Linked DNA regions of Danio rerio. The protein of the gene in region 3 purifies or fractionates together with the protein of the main gene of each other region. This does not show direct contact. Links are inferred from orthologs where the notes say so. Each region holds a gene or a part of one and is shown on either strand. Other genes may lie near its edges.

Region 1 (3,500 bases), on a different chromosome or scaffold from region 3:
TGGATATGAACAAGATGATAAAGATGGCACCAAAAGACACTTTAGTTATTAAAATGTGAAGGAAAGAATATAAAGTGCTCTCGAAGCTGATGGGGTGAATACAGGTGCTGAAAGATTCTGAGTCTCTCTCAGGAAGAGACTGGCACCTGCTGGTCACTCTGGTGTTCACTTCGGAACACAGTGGGAACATGGCGAAATGTAACATGCAATGTGAACATGTTTCAAAGTATGGAGAAAAGAAGATTTTTATCAAATAAAAACAGAAAATAAAAAAACCTGGAGTTATCCTGAAAAACTCAGCTTTGCATCACAAATGTTTTGCATCTTAGAATATATTAGGAAAATATAATTTAGTTTATTAACAGTTTTTAACAGTAATTACTATTACTAACTAATAATACACAGTAATATTAATAAACTGTTATGTTTTACAATATCACACAATTGCTGTCTTGGAAAACTCTAAAAATGTAGAAAAAAAATTAATACAGTAATTCCAATATTGTGAAATATCATTACTGTTAATCACTATTATTTTAAAAGTTAAAATATATATTTTTATTTAATATAATCCTGTTCTTTATATATATAGCATAAGTACCAAACTTCTTTTTCCAAATATTCTAAACAAAAAAAGCAGGAAAACTTACTTTTTGAGTGGATTTGACAGGGCTCTTTACAGCAGGCTTTTCTTGTTTGTCATCATCCCTAAAGATAGATAAAATTAATTTCAACATCTGAACATTTGAAGTGGATCTTAACATTTGAAGTGGATAAAATAAAGATTTTAAAAAATTGTCCCAAGACAAGAATGGGTGTTGTTGGTAGCTTCAAATGTTGACAACTGTGTATATATATATATATATATATATATATATATATATATATATATATATATATATATATATATATATATATATATATATACATATATATATGTGTGTGTGTGTGTGTGTGTGCATGTGTGTGTATGTATGCAAAAAACGATGCTAGAGTTTGAGATTCTTTAAAAAAAAAAAAAGTGTCATTGTGCAAGCAGCAGCAGTTGCCGCTTTCACTTTAACCATTCTTTGAAAAGATTATTAATGGGCTTTTTCCAGAGATGGGTTGCGGCTGGAAGGGCATCCTCTGCGTAAAAACATGCTGGATAAGTTGGCGGTTCATTCCGCTGTCACGACCACGGATTAATAAAGGGACTAAGCCAACAAGAAAATGAATTAATTAATTAATGGGCCTAACATTAACCGTGTGCAGGTGATCATCCTTTCATTATGGCATGTTTTTCACCTGCTTTCTTTTACAGTTATTGTTTTATTAATTATGGTATATTAATCATCCTTTACAATACCATTGCTTTATTAGTAGATTAACTTCCCATTTATTTGTAGTTAACTGGTGTTCTGGGACCTTTAGCCAGTACAGACTACTGTTCATACTTCTAGATACATGACAATAAATATTTTTAAAATGTCAATTGTATTTTTTTAAAGAAAAGTTTTGTTGAATAAAAAGTGTTTGTTTACAGCTATATTTGGCTTGTTTTGAAAATTTCTAATTATTTTAAATTTGTGGATAAGAATTTTTTTTTTTTTGAGTTTTGTTTTTTTTGGTGTAGCCAGATAATAATAAGGTAAATCTGTAGTGTTGATCCCTGTTAAGTCTTGTGAAACAAGAACTATTTGCAATGCAGCACTAAAATCTATTTGCTCATGCTCATTGTACGAGGTCATACACAACACACAAAACGTGAAATAAATAAGGAGTCATGTAGACATAGCACAACTTCTAAATTAAAAAGTTTAGCATGCCAAAATCAAATATATGCATATAAAATGTATTCTCCTTACAACAAAATTGTAGGTCGTGAAAATGGCGAGTGGCTAGTAATGTTGAAAAACTACTAGCCACAGTCACTAATATAAATATAAATATATATATATATATATATATATATATATATATATATATATATATATATATATATATATATATATATATATATATATATATTACTCATAAATTATAAATAAATAAATTCGTATTCATAAATTACCTTTCACGTGAATGTGCAAATTGTATTTCACATTCGCCCTGGATTTGTGATTGTTTATATTTTTGAGACTTTCCAGGCAGCACACAACTCTCACACAGATCACTTTTTAGCAAATCAGATGAGACGTCATTGTTCAACCAATCATACCTCAAAGAGAGCAATGTAATTGAGGTACTCCACTTGGCAAACCATTTATGTAATCAGACTTAATTTAGAAAGGAATAAACACACACACAAATCTAAGTTGATTCACACATGAAAGACGATTTGCCCATTTGATTTGCGTAGTAATGTAAAACAAATTTTAAACATTTACAACTTTTTGTACACTGTTATACATTTTTAATTTGTAATATACATTGTTGACATTTCTAAAATGATTTTTTGAATATACAGTTAAAGTCAGAAATATAAACCCCCTTTTAATTTTAAATTTATTTTTTATATTTCCCAAATGATGTAACATAGCAAGAAAATTTTCACAGTATGTCTGATAATATTTTTTCTTCTAGAAAAATTCTTATTTGTTTTATTTCAGCTAGAATAAAAGCAGTTTTTAATTTTTTAAATACCATTTTTGGGGACACAATTATTAGCCCCTTTAAGCTATTTTTTTTTTCCGATAGTCAACAGAACAAACCATTGTTATACAATAACTTGCCTAATTACCCTATCCTGCCTAACTAACATAATTAACCTAGTTAATCGTAGTTAAACACTTTAAGCTGTATTGAAGTGTCTTAAAAAATATCTAGTCAAATATTATTTACTGCCATCATGGCAAAAATCAAATAAATCAGTTATTATAAATGAGTTATTAAAACTATTATGCTTAGAAATATGTTGACAAAATCTTCTCTCCGTTAAACAGAAATTGAGGAGAAAAAATAAACGAGGGCTAATAATTTAGGGAGGCTAATAATTCTGACTTCAACTGTATAATTTAATTGTATGCATGTAAACTGTTTTTATGATTATATATATTTTGTCATATACTTAAGTATAAATGAACCTTATTGAAGTAGTTCACTGCGTGTAAAAACTTTCAATGAAACACTTTATAACTGAACAAACTTGAGCTCTTACTCTTCTTCATCATCATCATCATCGTCGTCGTCGTCGTCATCATCATCGCTGTCTTCATCCTCATCTGAGTCCATTTTCAGCTTTTTCTAAATAAAAAAAAAGAAAAAAAATACCTCTATTAGAAGCAGAAAATTAGATGATATAATCATATTACATTATATTTAAACTATAGTTATGCAATTATATTACTTATTTTTATATTCCTGGTGTCTCAATTTTATGAAGTAATAAGCAGCAAAAAATAAATAAGCATTGCAGTTATTTTTTGGCCAGTAAATCACATCCTTAAAAAGAAAGTCCCTCAAAATGAAAAATCCTGTCATCATTTACTCACCCTTAACTTGAACGCAAAAGAAGATGT
Region 2 (3,500 bases), on a different chromosome or scaffold from region 3:
TTTGGTGGCGTAGTGTGGACGGAGATATGTTCAGAGACGCTAGGTGAAAAGCTAGTGTGGACGCGGATCGTTTATGATCTTAAACGCCGTTTTAGAACTAAAATGCACTAGTGTAAATGGGGCCAAAGTGTTTCTGCAGACGTTCACACACTAGCTAAACATACCGTACTATGACGTCAAATGAACCCGGGTGCGGACCAAAAGTGATAGTGTGAAAGCACCCTAATCCTCTTATATGTGATTTTTGCATAATAGGTCCCCTTTATATATATATTAAATAACATGCTAATATATGTTTAGTTAACATAAATATAGATTGAGTAATGGTTAACAGATGTGGTAATCCATATTTACTAATGCCTTAACCTTAATGTAAAGTCTTACTATGCTTTTACTACATGAAAACAAGAGATACTTCTCAAAAGTTTTTTATAACACTGATATTGAAGAGGAAGACTGACAAAAATGAAAAAAATATCTTAAAGCGAACAATGTTATAAATGAGAGTTGGTACAGTAAAATGAATAGTAGTGAGGAAATGGAACCAATTTAATTACCAGTGTTTTGATACACAACATGCGCTGGACGGTCCTTCATGGTCAGGTCCAGCACAGAAAGACCCTCCTTATCCTGCATGGACAGCGATCCTCCACGCTGGAACGCAAACATTTAATATATTACATTTAATTACATTTAAAAAGATTAAATATTGTTTGTTGAAAAACTGGTAGTGGTTTGAATAACAGTATAATAAAAAGTGTAAAGATTACAATTAATGCACTGGAGTCCTTCAAATGTAATGACTTTAAACAAATAAATTCAAACAGAAGCCTTTCTAAAGTATGACCCAAACACATTTGAATCAAAGACAACCATGCAAGCCAATAAACCAATGGAATGGATGGAGAATATAAAGCAGCCCTGGTGATTCCCGTTCCACAGTTCAATGCGTTTTAAAACCTGCAGTGGCTCTCAAATATATCAGCCAGGAGGCCAATTAACATTATTTACTCATTGCGTCCATACTCCATGAACAAAATCAATTCCCAACCTGCATTTTAAGACCTTTTCATTCAGATATGCATGACAATAGAGAGTCAAGTTCATTTTCGTGCTGACTTTCATGCCACATACGTGATATAAAACTTCCAAAAATCCACCAGCTTTGAATGGAAAATGAACATTTTTGTAATTTGTTTTAAAGGTCCAATGAAATTAAAGTAACGTTATTTAGATGTTAGTATCAGTATGTTAGTCTTCAAGTATATTTGTAAGCTAGTGTGGTACAAAACAATCACACAAATTTGCATTTAGAAAATATAAACATGTAAAACTTGTAGCTTGCCACTTCCGGCTAAATGGATCAATGGTTTATTTCACGTCACCTTTTATTTCAGTTACTCATCAAATCTTGACCAATCAAATGCTCTCTAGTGTCTGACATCCCCCGCCCCCTTTAATACGCTGTTCATTTACTTTTCATTTGATGCACTTGAGCTCAACCACTCTCACTGGCAGAGCTATGATAAAACAAATCGCTAATAGATGTTTTTTTAAAGGGGAGGAGCTACTCTATATCCCGCCCTCTCTACGTTTTTCAGTAAAGATTATGTCAAACATCAAATTAAAAAAATTTACATTTCAAAGCACTTCATGGGATCTTTAAATGGTGAAGTGTGCAATTTCTCACTCTGTAACAGCAACAAAACCAACTGTGATATAAATTTGTGTGCTTGTGTCATTTAACTTAATTAAATGACTTTGTATATTAGTGGTTTAAGGTAAACTACTGTCAACTTGTTGATGGTTAGTATCACAGTTTCAAAATTTTCATTATCATGAAGACTGTTGATTGTTTACAACGTCATTAAACTAATTGCAAAAAAATCAAAATAAATCAAAAAAGGCAGCAATACAGACAATTCCATATAAAGTTGAAGTCAGAATTATTAGACGCCCTTTGAATTTTTCTTCTTTTTTAATTATTTCCCAAATAACGTTTAACAGAGCAAGAAACTTTTCACAGTATGTCTGATAATATTTTTTTCTTCTGGAGAAAGTCTTATTTGTTTTATTTCGGCTAGAATAAAAGCAGTTTTGAATTGTTTAAACCATTTAAAGGACAAAATTATTAGCCCCTTTCAGCTTTTTTTTGTCTACAAAACAAACCATCGCTTTATAACAACTTGCCTATTTACCCTAATCTGCCTAGTTAATAAAATTAACCTAGTTTAGCCTTTAAATGTCACTTTAAGCTGTATAGAAGTGTCTTGAAAAATATCTAGTAAAATATTATTTACTGTCATCATGGCAAAGATAAAATAAATCAGTTATTAGAGATGAGTTATTAAAACTAATATGATTACAAATGTGTTAAAAAAAAATCTTCTCTCCGTTAAACAAAAATTGGGGAAAGAATTAAACAGGGGGTCTAATAATGGTTGGCCGCGCCTACTTGTGGCTTCTTTTGCGCTCTTCAAAAACCTATGGGTGACGTCACTACGTCAAATAAGGCTGCAATACAGACAATTACATATAAAGCTGAAGTCAGAATTATTAGACCCCCTTTGAATTATTCTTCCTTTTTTAATTATTTCCCAAATAATGTTTAACAGAGCAAGAAAATGTTCACAATATGTCTGATAATATTTTTTCTTCTGGTGAAAGTCTTATGGAGAAAGGGTTGTGCAACACTCATAGACTGTATATTTTACAGACTATGAGTGTTACCCAACCCTGCACACCAACAGTACTTATTTTCAACCTCTCCCTAATCAAATACACCTGAAATCAACTCATTAAAACATAACAAGACTCCAAAACCTGAAGTTAAAGAAGGGAGACATACAAAATATGTACTATTGGTGTTTCTCCAGGAACAGCGTTGGGAAAGACTGCTCTAATGTATATCTGAATTAAATCATTTCTTCCTAAGACCATTTTGAGGGATGTAAACAAAAAACAATGGTCCTAACCTATTTCGTGTTGGTTAGTTTGACAACAAACAGGAAATGTTCGTGGGCCAGTGACAATTGCCACATTGAAGTGGTCTATACTGTATCGACATCAGCTCTCACCTTGATGAGGGTTATGAGGCAGTGAATTTGCCCGTAGAAGGCGCTGCGATGCAGTGCAGTCCAGCCAGACTCCTTGTCCTTCGCCAACAGGTCAGCATGTTTACAGTCCAGAAGCCACTGAAGCAGTTCCCGCTTTCCCATGGAGGCTGCGAGGTGGAGAGCTGTGCGTCCGAACTCATCCCGCAGAGTAGCCGAATTGTGACAGTGGACAGACAGGAAGGCCCGCAGACAGGCCTCTGAACCGCTGGTCAAAGCTGAGATCACTTCATCCGCGTGCCTTTCAGAACGGCACTTCGGTGTGCAATCTGGAGTTCCCAGATTCATTTTTGCTTCCCACCCGCAAAACTAAAACCCAAAAAATAACCCAAACCCCACACAATATTTGCTTAATGGTTAAACTTCTCAGACTTACCAAGCAATTAT
Region 3 (3,979 bases):
CTCCAAGAGCCAAGACCACCTTCTGAATCTGAGGAGAACAGAAGAGAGTTCTGCATCAGCTTGAGAGATCAATCCCATTTAACATTCATTGCATCTGAAACTAGCTGAGCTCATGAGTCAAGTTAAGACAAGTATGTGCCCATAGCATGAAACAGTCTTTTTCTCACTACGTTGAGCCGACTGGGATGAATATGGCCTTCATTTCCTCTGCCCCTAACAGATATAAGCTTTGTGCCACTGGCAGGCACAGCTTTGCCCAGATGATAGGGGACACGTGTATAAAACTGAAACATTTGCAAGACTTTATCTTGTGTCCCTAGTGTTGAATGTGAAATGGTTCGCACCTGTTGGGCCAGCTCTCTGGTAGGTGCCAGAACCATAGCTTGTGTGGCCTTCAGCTCCACATCAATCTGCTGCAGGATGGAGATGGCAAACGTGGCAGTCTTTCCTGTGCCGGACTGAGCCTGTGCAATGACATCATAACCTATAGAGAGAATATTAATTATTATTATTTGGTGTTTCACAGTCGGTTACTCACTAAAGCCTTCAAGGAGTATGCCGAGGCAGTTTGTGCCCATACCATGAAACAGTCTATGCCTCACTGTATTGAGATGACTGGGATGAATATGGGCTTTATTTCCTCTGCCCTTACCAGATATAGGTCAGAGTGTCACTGACAGACACAGCCTTGCCCAGATGATAAGGGCGTGAATAAACAAATATTTTCGTTCAAGTAAATATGCCAAGCAAATATAGATGGATAGTTACATTTCTACATACCCTTGATACAAGGGAGGATTGCCCTTTGCTGAATGGCGGAAGGTTTCTCAAAACCATAAGCATAGATTCCTCTGAGAAGTGCCTCTCGCAGGTTCATATCATCAAAACTATCAACAATCTCCTTCCAGTTGCTCTGTAAAATAAATGTGATTTATAGTTGATTATTATTAACACACGACAACTCATTTTTTGCACCTGAATATAAATAGCTTACAAGTAACTATTTTATTACTTTATTTCAGGGTTGCATAATGTTTTGTTGAGTATTCTATGATTTTTATTGCAAAAAAAAAAAAAAAAGATTTAAGTATATATGGACTTCTGTAGCCTCTATAAATTGTATAACCGCCTCGAAATAACATGAAGCCCTGATTTTACATTTAAATTTGTGGACAGATCAAAGATAAGGAATTCATGACCCACTATGTTTAGTTATATGTAATATCTGTATCTAATTACTACCTTTATTCTATAGTGATTCCTGCTATCCATAGACACAAAGACGTATACAATATTGTGGTTATAAATACTTTAGGTGAAATGGCTCTTAAGAGACACCAACCTCAATGACTCCATCTGGCTCCATCCCCTCCGGGCCATTGTCTCTGGGTCTGCAATAAGAGGTTGTAATTAGTACATTGACAACTCATTTCGCAAAATTAATTTCTCAGTGCCAAAATCTGAACATCTCCAAAGAACACATTAACTGAACTTTACTACTGCATAGAATGTATGTATATATATGTATATATATATATATATATATATATATATATATATAAACCCACCCCCCCCCCAAAAAAATTGCTCAGACTGTGAGGCATAGTCACAGTCAATCTCCATTCACTTTCATTGCGTCATTTCCCACATACTGAAAGTAACGGTGACGGAGACTGTCACTCCACCTAACATTACTTTTTATAAAAATGGGTCCGACAGGTTTGTTTTTCGATGTTCATTATTGTTTAGTTAAACTGAGACAGAACTTAAAGAAACTGATATAGCAACCTCTGAAATCTACGTTACCAAGAGGCAGCCATTTTCGCTCAGCGCCATTACCAACGTGGCTCCACCGAGACACATTCATTCGCATATTCAACATTAATCTATTACTACAACATCCAATCTTATAAAAAACGTCACGAAACAGCATAACCACGCAGATTGATATACCATTTAATTAACACGCATGTTTCTCGATTATGAAGTTACAGTATATCAAGTTACATATTAAACAACGACACCGCTTCGCTTCTTTTTAAATCCATAAAAATACCACCCTTTAAAGTTATAAAATTTTAATCTTAGAAAATAGTTGGTTTGAAATGGTTGAAAACAGGCCTTGACGTTAGGCCTAACGTTATACTCCCAGACCACACTCCATTGTCTCGCCCATGAAAGGCCATGTGCCATACATATCCTCTCGATTGAGGGCTTAAATCTGCCAACAAAGTCGGTTTTAATAATGGATGGCATCCGAAACAATGTTCTCGAGTAGAGTACATAACAATGAATGTTGAAAATGTCCGCAATCGGTTCAAAACGAGGGAAATGAAACGGCCATGTGCCGCATGGACGCGCCGGTCACACGATGTACTGAAGCAGCGCGTGAGACACGTTGCGTCACAAGAACCGGCATTTTAACGGAACATCGAAAATATGGCACCAATTCATCTTAAAACACTTTTTAGTTAACATCAATACGATATCCTAAAACAAAACGACAAAATCGCAGGAAACTGGATTAAAAACACACTTTTCTAAACGATTTTAACGAGGCGGGAACAGGGCGAGCACGAACATGCCAAATCGGCAAATAATGCTAGTTTTTAAACCGCTAATGAACAATCTTTTACTACAATACATCTTAAATCGATAAGAATTCCTAATTGTTTTCCATAAATAATCAATATTTTAACAGATAGAAAAAACATTCGTCGAACACGTTATCTTACCTATCTTCATGTTCAGACGACATTATTACAAAGGACTGTAGACTGGCGGAAACGCGCAAATACTTAAACCGTGACGATGTTCAAAGTCCATTGATTGGACGTCTTGCCGTTCAGTCAGCCTGTAGTCCCGCCCAGTAACAACTCTCATTGGTTAGTTAACGATTGGCACCGCCCTATCATAAGCGCCTATTCATAGACGTCACGAAATGGGGAAAAATCCTAACTGGAACTTAAAACAAATTTCAAAGGAAATGTGATGCTTAGAAAGATACTTTCTAAATGGTAAATACCTTTTTAAATGACGTAAACCAACTACACGTATAAAAAAATAGCACAAATTACAGGTTTTCGTCGAAAACATTTTGAGTCCATTTCTTTATAGAATATGCTAACGTAAATAACGTTAAATGACAATACGAAGACCTGTTTGTTTTTATGATGGGTTTAAATGGACATACATATTTGAGTACCTTTACTATTTATGTCACTCGCTGTTGAAATGTTTCAAAATGGTTCTGACAGCATTCAAATGTAAAATCTTACTGGGTCAAATGTAAAATGTTACTGGGTCAAATAATTTGCTGCTGACTTCAAGATAGTACAGGACAACCCTCCCTTATTGCCCAATGTCTTGTCTTCCTCTGCATAAATGTCGAAAGTGAGTCATTTATGATTCACAGCTGTTGTTCCCATTTAACAGTTCTTACAAATATGAAGGCTTAAAACAGCTTACTGGTATTACTTCCAGTTTAAGAAAGGATGAGCACAGTACAAAGTAAACAGTGTGGTGATTCAGTAACCCATCATAACAAATTGGGCTATTTAAGTGACAAAAAAAAGCATGTAATTCTTGATGAATGCATCAATTATTATTTTCGCATGATGATTTATTAAAAACAAAACGGCAGACATGATTTGTTACTTGCATTTTAGCACAGTTACTCTCATGCCAACATTTCTGATTAGGAGTTTTGCAACAACTTTATGCGCAGAACAAAAAAATGAAACCCAACACAGAATGTTTGACTCAGGCAGCAACACACAAGGGCCTGCCTGGCAGTCAACTGTTAATAACCTCCGGTGTCTCAGTCAAGGCGTTGGGCTCCAATACGAAACCAAACAGAAGAGTTATACAAAACAAAAACACAAGTGACTTGAGGATGAAATTTCCTCAGTGTGGAGTCTCTCAGGCTTTTTGGACAAATGTATCTTTTTTTGTTTTGTTTCCCTCACTGGCTGTGCAG
Region 4 (3,085 bases), on a different chromosome or scaffold from region 3:
AATATATCTTTATATTACTATAGTATTTAAAATGTGCAGCACAGGATTTTTGAATTTATTTGTGTTTGCTGTCTAATACAAGCTATTTCTGTTTAGTAGAGCATATTAATTGCAGTAAATAACTGAACTTAATTATGCAGTTTTATTGATCACTTAATCAGAATTGGATTGAAGTTGCTTCGATGTAAAAATAAAAAATAGCTTAGATGTAGCTAAGCTACTTTTGCCATCTAATTTAGCTTACTACATTTCCCAGGCGGTAGCTTTTAGTGTAGTTAAGCTACATTTTACATAGAGTAACTAATAGTTTAGCTCACTACATTTCCCAAGCTTGCCCAACACTGCAACAGAGAAGTCTTTTGCATCTCAACTAATGTATCTCGTTTGAAGGATGTTTAAATATTTGTATTAAATAAAGAAAACACTGAGGAAGATATTCACTTTTTGGAGTGTAAATATCCTAATGGAACAAGAAAATGTTTTCCACATCTCAAGAATCTCAGAGAGGATTATTTATTTATCATAAACATAAGCATTTCAGAGGCTCTTACTAGTTATAGACAATGCACTGTACAATTTATTTACAGTCAGTTTTTTTCCATACATTTTCATAAGCACCCATGTTCAAGAAAGGAGTTATGTTTCGTATTACAAAGAAATCCAGCTACTTTGTGAAAAAAGGAGATCCGTTGTCTCAATACTGCCTTAAACACTTGACATGAGGAATGTGGAACAAGACTGCAAAAATACACATTTATACAACAGTCTTTGCAACAGAGCCAACCTTTGACATTCTCAAGCTGCAATACGAGATAGTGTGATTAGAAATAGCATGATCAGGTTACCGTCGAAATCACTTAAACACTAAATCCAAAGCAGAAATTAGTGCACCGAGTAAAAAAATAAATAAATTACACTTAAGATTTAATAACTGCAACACAACATAAAAAAGTCAAACGGAATATGAAAGAAAAACATTCATAAATTGAATCGAACGCACTCCCCCAATCCCCACTAGCAAAAACGATTTGTTAATAGTACGTTGACAATTAAAAAAAGAACGTGGCTTTGTTTTTTATACACTGTACAGTTTTGTAAATACGATATTCCTCTGAATAATCTTCAAATCTCAAGGCCTTTAATTTCCTAGTGTTTCCCTCACAGAATCCTGTGGAAAGGTCAGATCCTGCTTGTCTGTTTATATGTCACTGTTGATGAAGATCTGGATTTGATATAGATTCAGACTGTTGATGCAGCATCTGAAATTAAATCACGGCATGAGTAATCGATGTAAAGATATGAAAATGTTAAAGGAATGATAAAAATACCTACTGTTTAAAAGGCTCCTTAAACAACAAACTTGTTCTTGGTGGTGGAACCACTTTTGGTGGCCGTGTCCGCATGTGACTGGTATCCAATGATGACCTTTGGTGGCACACCTAATCTTTCTTTGTACACACGCCTGTTAAGGAGGAAAAGACAAAATGTAGACACTTAGGCTACGTTCACACTGCTAGGTTTAGTGCTCAAATCAGATTTTTTTTTTTGTGTATGGCTGTTGACGATGCTCTTATAAATGTGGCCAATTTCAGATTTGCAGGGTGAACAGATCCTAAAGTGACCCGCTTGCGCAAAAGTACATTACAGACAGCACAAAATGTCTAATTATGCACTTGTGATACTGTATGAAGTAAGCACGTTGTCAGACCATGCTTATATGATTATTGCCCTTTTCACAGACAACCATGGTGTGTTTCATGAACCGTAAATGATTGTTCTGCTACTACTAATGTGTATTCTGCCATTTGAAATCTAAAACAAGTCACTTGTGATTGAAATCACTGATCGTTTGTGATTTATGACAACAGCGGTGCACGTTTGTATGACCACCGGTGCAGTGAACTCATCAAGGGTTAATGAACAGAGTAAGACTAAACTGTAAAGGCGGAGTTGTTTTATCTCCATTTGCAGTTATTTAATTTTACTTCATTATAAACAGTAGACACGTGCAGAAGGGGGGTTTGGATGCTCGAGCACCTGCCCTTTTTTCTCTCGGAGAGAAAGTTCATCCTCCTTTGCACACAGAGTCCCTATTTGCAACACCCACGATGCTCTTCAGCTTCACGATCAACCCGCGCCTCAATCGTTAACAAACACCAGTTTTGCCTCCAAAATCTTTTTCAAAAAAACAACAAGCTTTCTGTGGTGCAGTAAACGCCCTGTGTGCCGTTCTACGATGCTGCTGAGGAGTACAGGATGTTTGCAGCACAGAATAATGACGCATGTTGCTCGAAGATTATGTAAAAGTCACAAGAAATCCGACATAACCGTTCACACTGCAGTCGCATTGCAAAACATCAGATCTGTGTCTAATTTAAGACTACATATGAAAGTGGCACAGATCTGACCTGAAAAGATCAGATTCCATGCGTTTGGGTTGTTCACACTGTCATTACCTGAGTAACATGAGGGGGAAAAAATCTAATTCGAGCCACATTTGGCTCAGTGTGAACGTAGCCTTATAGACAAAGTCAAGGCATAATCTGCATGACTAATAACCAAAAATAGTTGACAAGTAGTAGCTTTTTTTTCCCCAGAGATGGGTTTCGACTGGAAGGGCATGCGCTGCGTAAAAGCTTGCTGGATAAGTAGGCGGTTCATTCCGCTGTGGCGACCCGAATTAATAAAGGGACTAAGCCAAAAAGAAAATGAACCTGAAAACCTGAAAAAATATGCAGCTAAGTCACAAAATCTGTCGCAATTCAGTTTGCAAAAAATTCTAACTGCATTTCGTTTCCTCTCACTCCACAAATCCTTACAATTTAACCTTTTTAAATCAGCAACAACCTAAATGTTTGGATTGGTGGCTTGATGTTATTTATTTATTCCCACATCAGCAACGTATGGTTAATTCATGGCAAAATGGATATAGATAGAAAATATTACATGATAAAAACTAATTCATATTACAACAAAAGTGACTCAGACAAATATTTAGAATATAAATAAATAAAATTCACACAAAAATATATTCAAAGTTAAATATGATTTTTCAGTTCAATTTTTGATAAATAATTTAACACTC

Evidence for each region.
Region 1: the proteins of eif4a1a (region 3) and npm1b purify together in Homo sapiens (affinity purification with mass spectrometry; 3 studies listed by BioGRID and IntAct, with this or other methods). This does not show direct contact. The link is inferred for Danio rerio from reciprocal best matches to the Homo sapiens genes EIF4A1 and NPM1.
Region 2: the proteins of eif4a1a (region 3) and ibtk purify together in Homo sapiens (co-immunoprecipitation; 4 studies listed by BioGRID and IntAct, counting the BioPlex papers as one, with this or other methods). This does not show direct contact. The link is inferred for Danio rerio from reciprocal best matches to the Homo sapiens genes EIF4A1 and IBTK.
Region 4: the proteins of eif4a1a (region 3) and eif4ea purify together in Homo sapiens (affinity purification with mass spectrometry; 8 studies listed by BioGRID and IntAct, counting the BioPlex papers as one, with this or other methods). This does not show direct contact. The link is inferred for Danio rerio from reciprocal best matches to the Homo sapiens genes EIF4A1 and EIF4E.

Annotation. Positions count from the first base shown.
Region 1 is NC_133189.1:6,155,414-6,158,913, forward strand, and holds part of npm1b (nucleophosmin 1b), read right to left. Parts: intron 3,226-3,500; coding exon 3,140-3,225; intron 709-3,139; coding exon 651-708; intron 1-650. UniProt on the Homo sapiens protein: Involved in diverse cellular processes such as ribosome biogenesis, centrosome duplication, protein chaperoning, histone assembly, cell proliferation, and regulation of tumor suppressors p53/TP53 and ARF.
Region 2 is NC_133191.1:5,050,850-5,054,349, reverse strand, and holds part of ibtk (inhibitor of Bruton tyrosine kinase), read right to left. Parts: 5' UTR 3,402-3,500; coding exon 3,078-3,401; intron 655-3,077; coding exon 558-654; intron 1-557. UniProt on the Homo sapiens protein: Acts as an inhibitor of BTK tyrosine kinase activity, thereby playing a role in B-cell development. Down-regulates BTK kinase activity, leading to interference with BTK-mediated calcium mobilization and NF-kappa-B-driven transcription.
Region 3 is NC_133182.1:26,546,631-26,550,609, forward strand, and holds the start of eif4a1a (eukaryotic translation initiation factor 4A1A), read right to left. Parts: upstream 2,801-3,979; 5' UTR 2,759-2,800; coding exon 2,736-2,758; intron 1,392-2,735; coding exon 1,343-1,391; intron 914-1,342; coding exon 781-913; intron 485-780; coding exon 345-484; intron 29-344; coding exon 1-28. UniProt on the Homo sapiens protein: ATP-dependent RNA helicase which is a subunit of the eIF4F complex involved in cap recognition and is required for mRNA binding to ribosome.
Region 4 is NC_133189.1:48,172,714-48,175,798, forward strand, and holds the end of eif4ea (eukaryotic translation initiation factor 4E-1A), read right to left. Parts: intron 1,463-3,085; coding exon 1,348-1,462; 3' UTR 1,333-1,347; intron 1,260-1,332; 3' UTR 501-1,259; downstream 1-500. UniProt on the Homo sapiens protein: Acts in the cytoplasm to initiate and regulate protein synthesis and is required in the nucleus for export of a subset of mRNAs from the nucleus to the cytoplasm which promotes processes such as RNA capping, processing and splicing.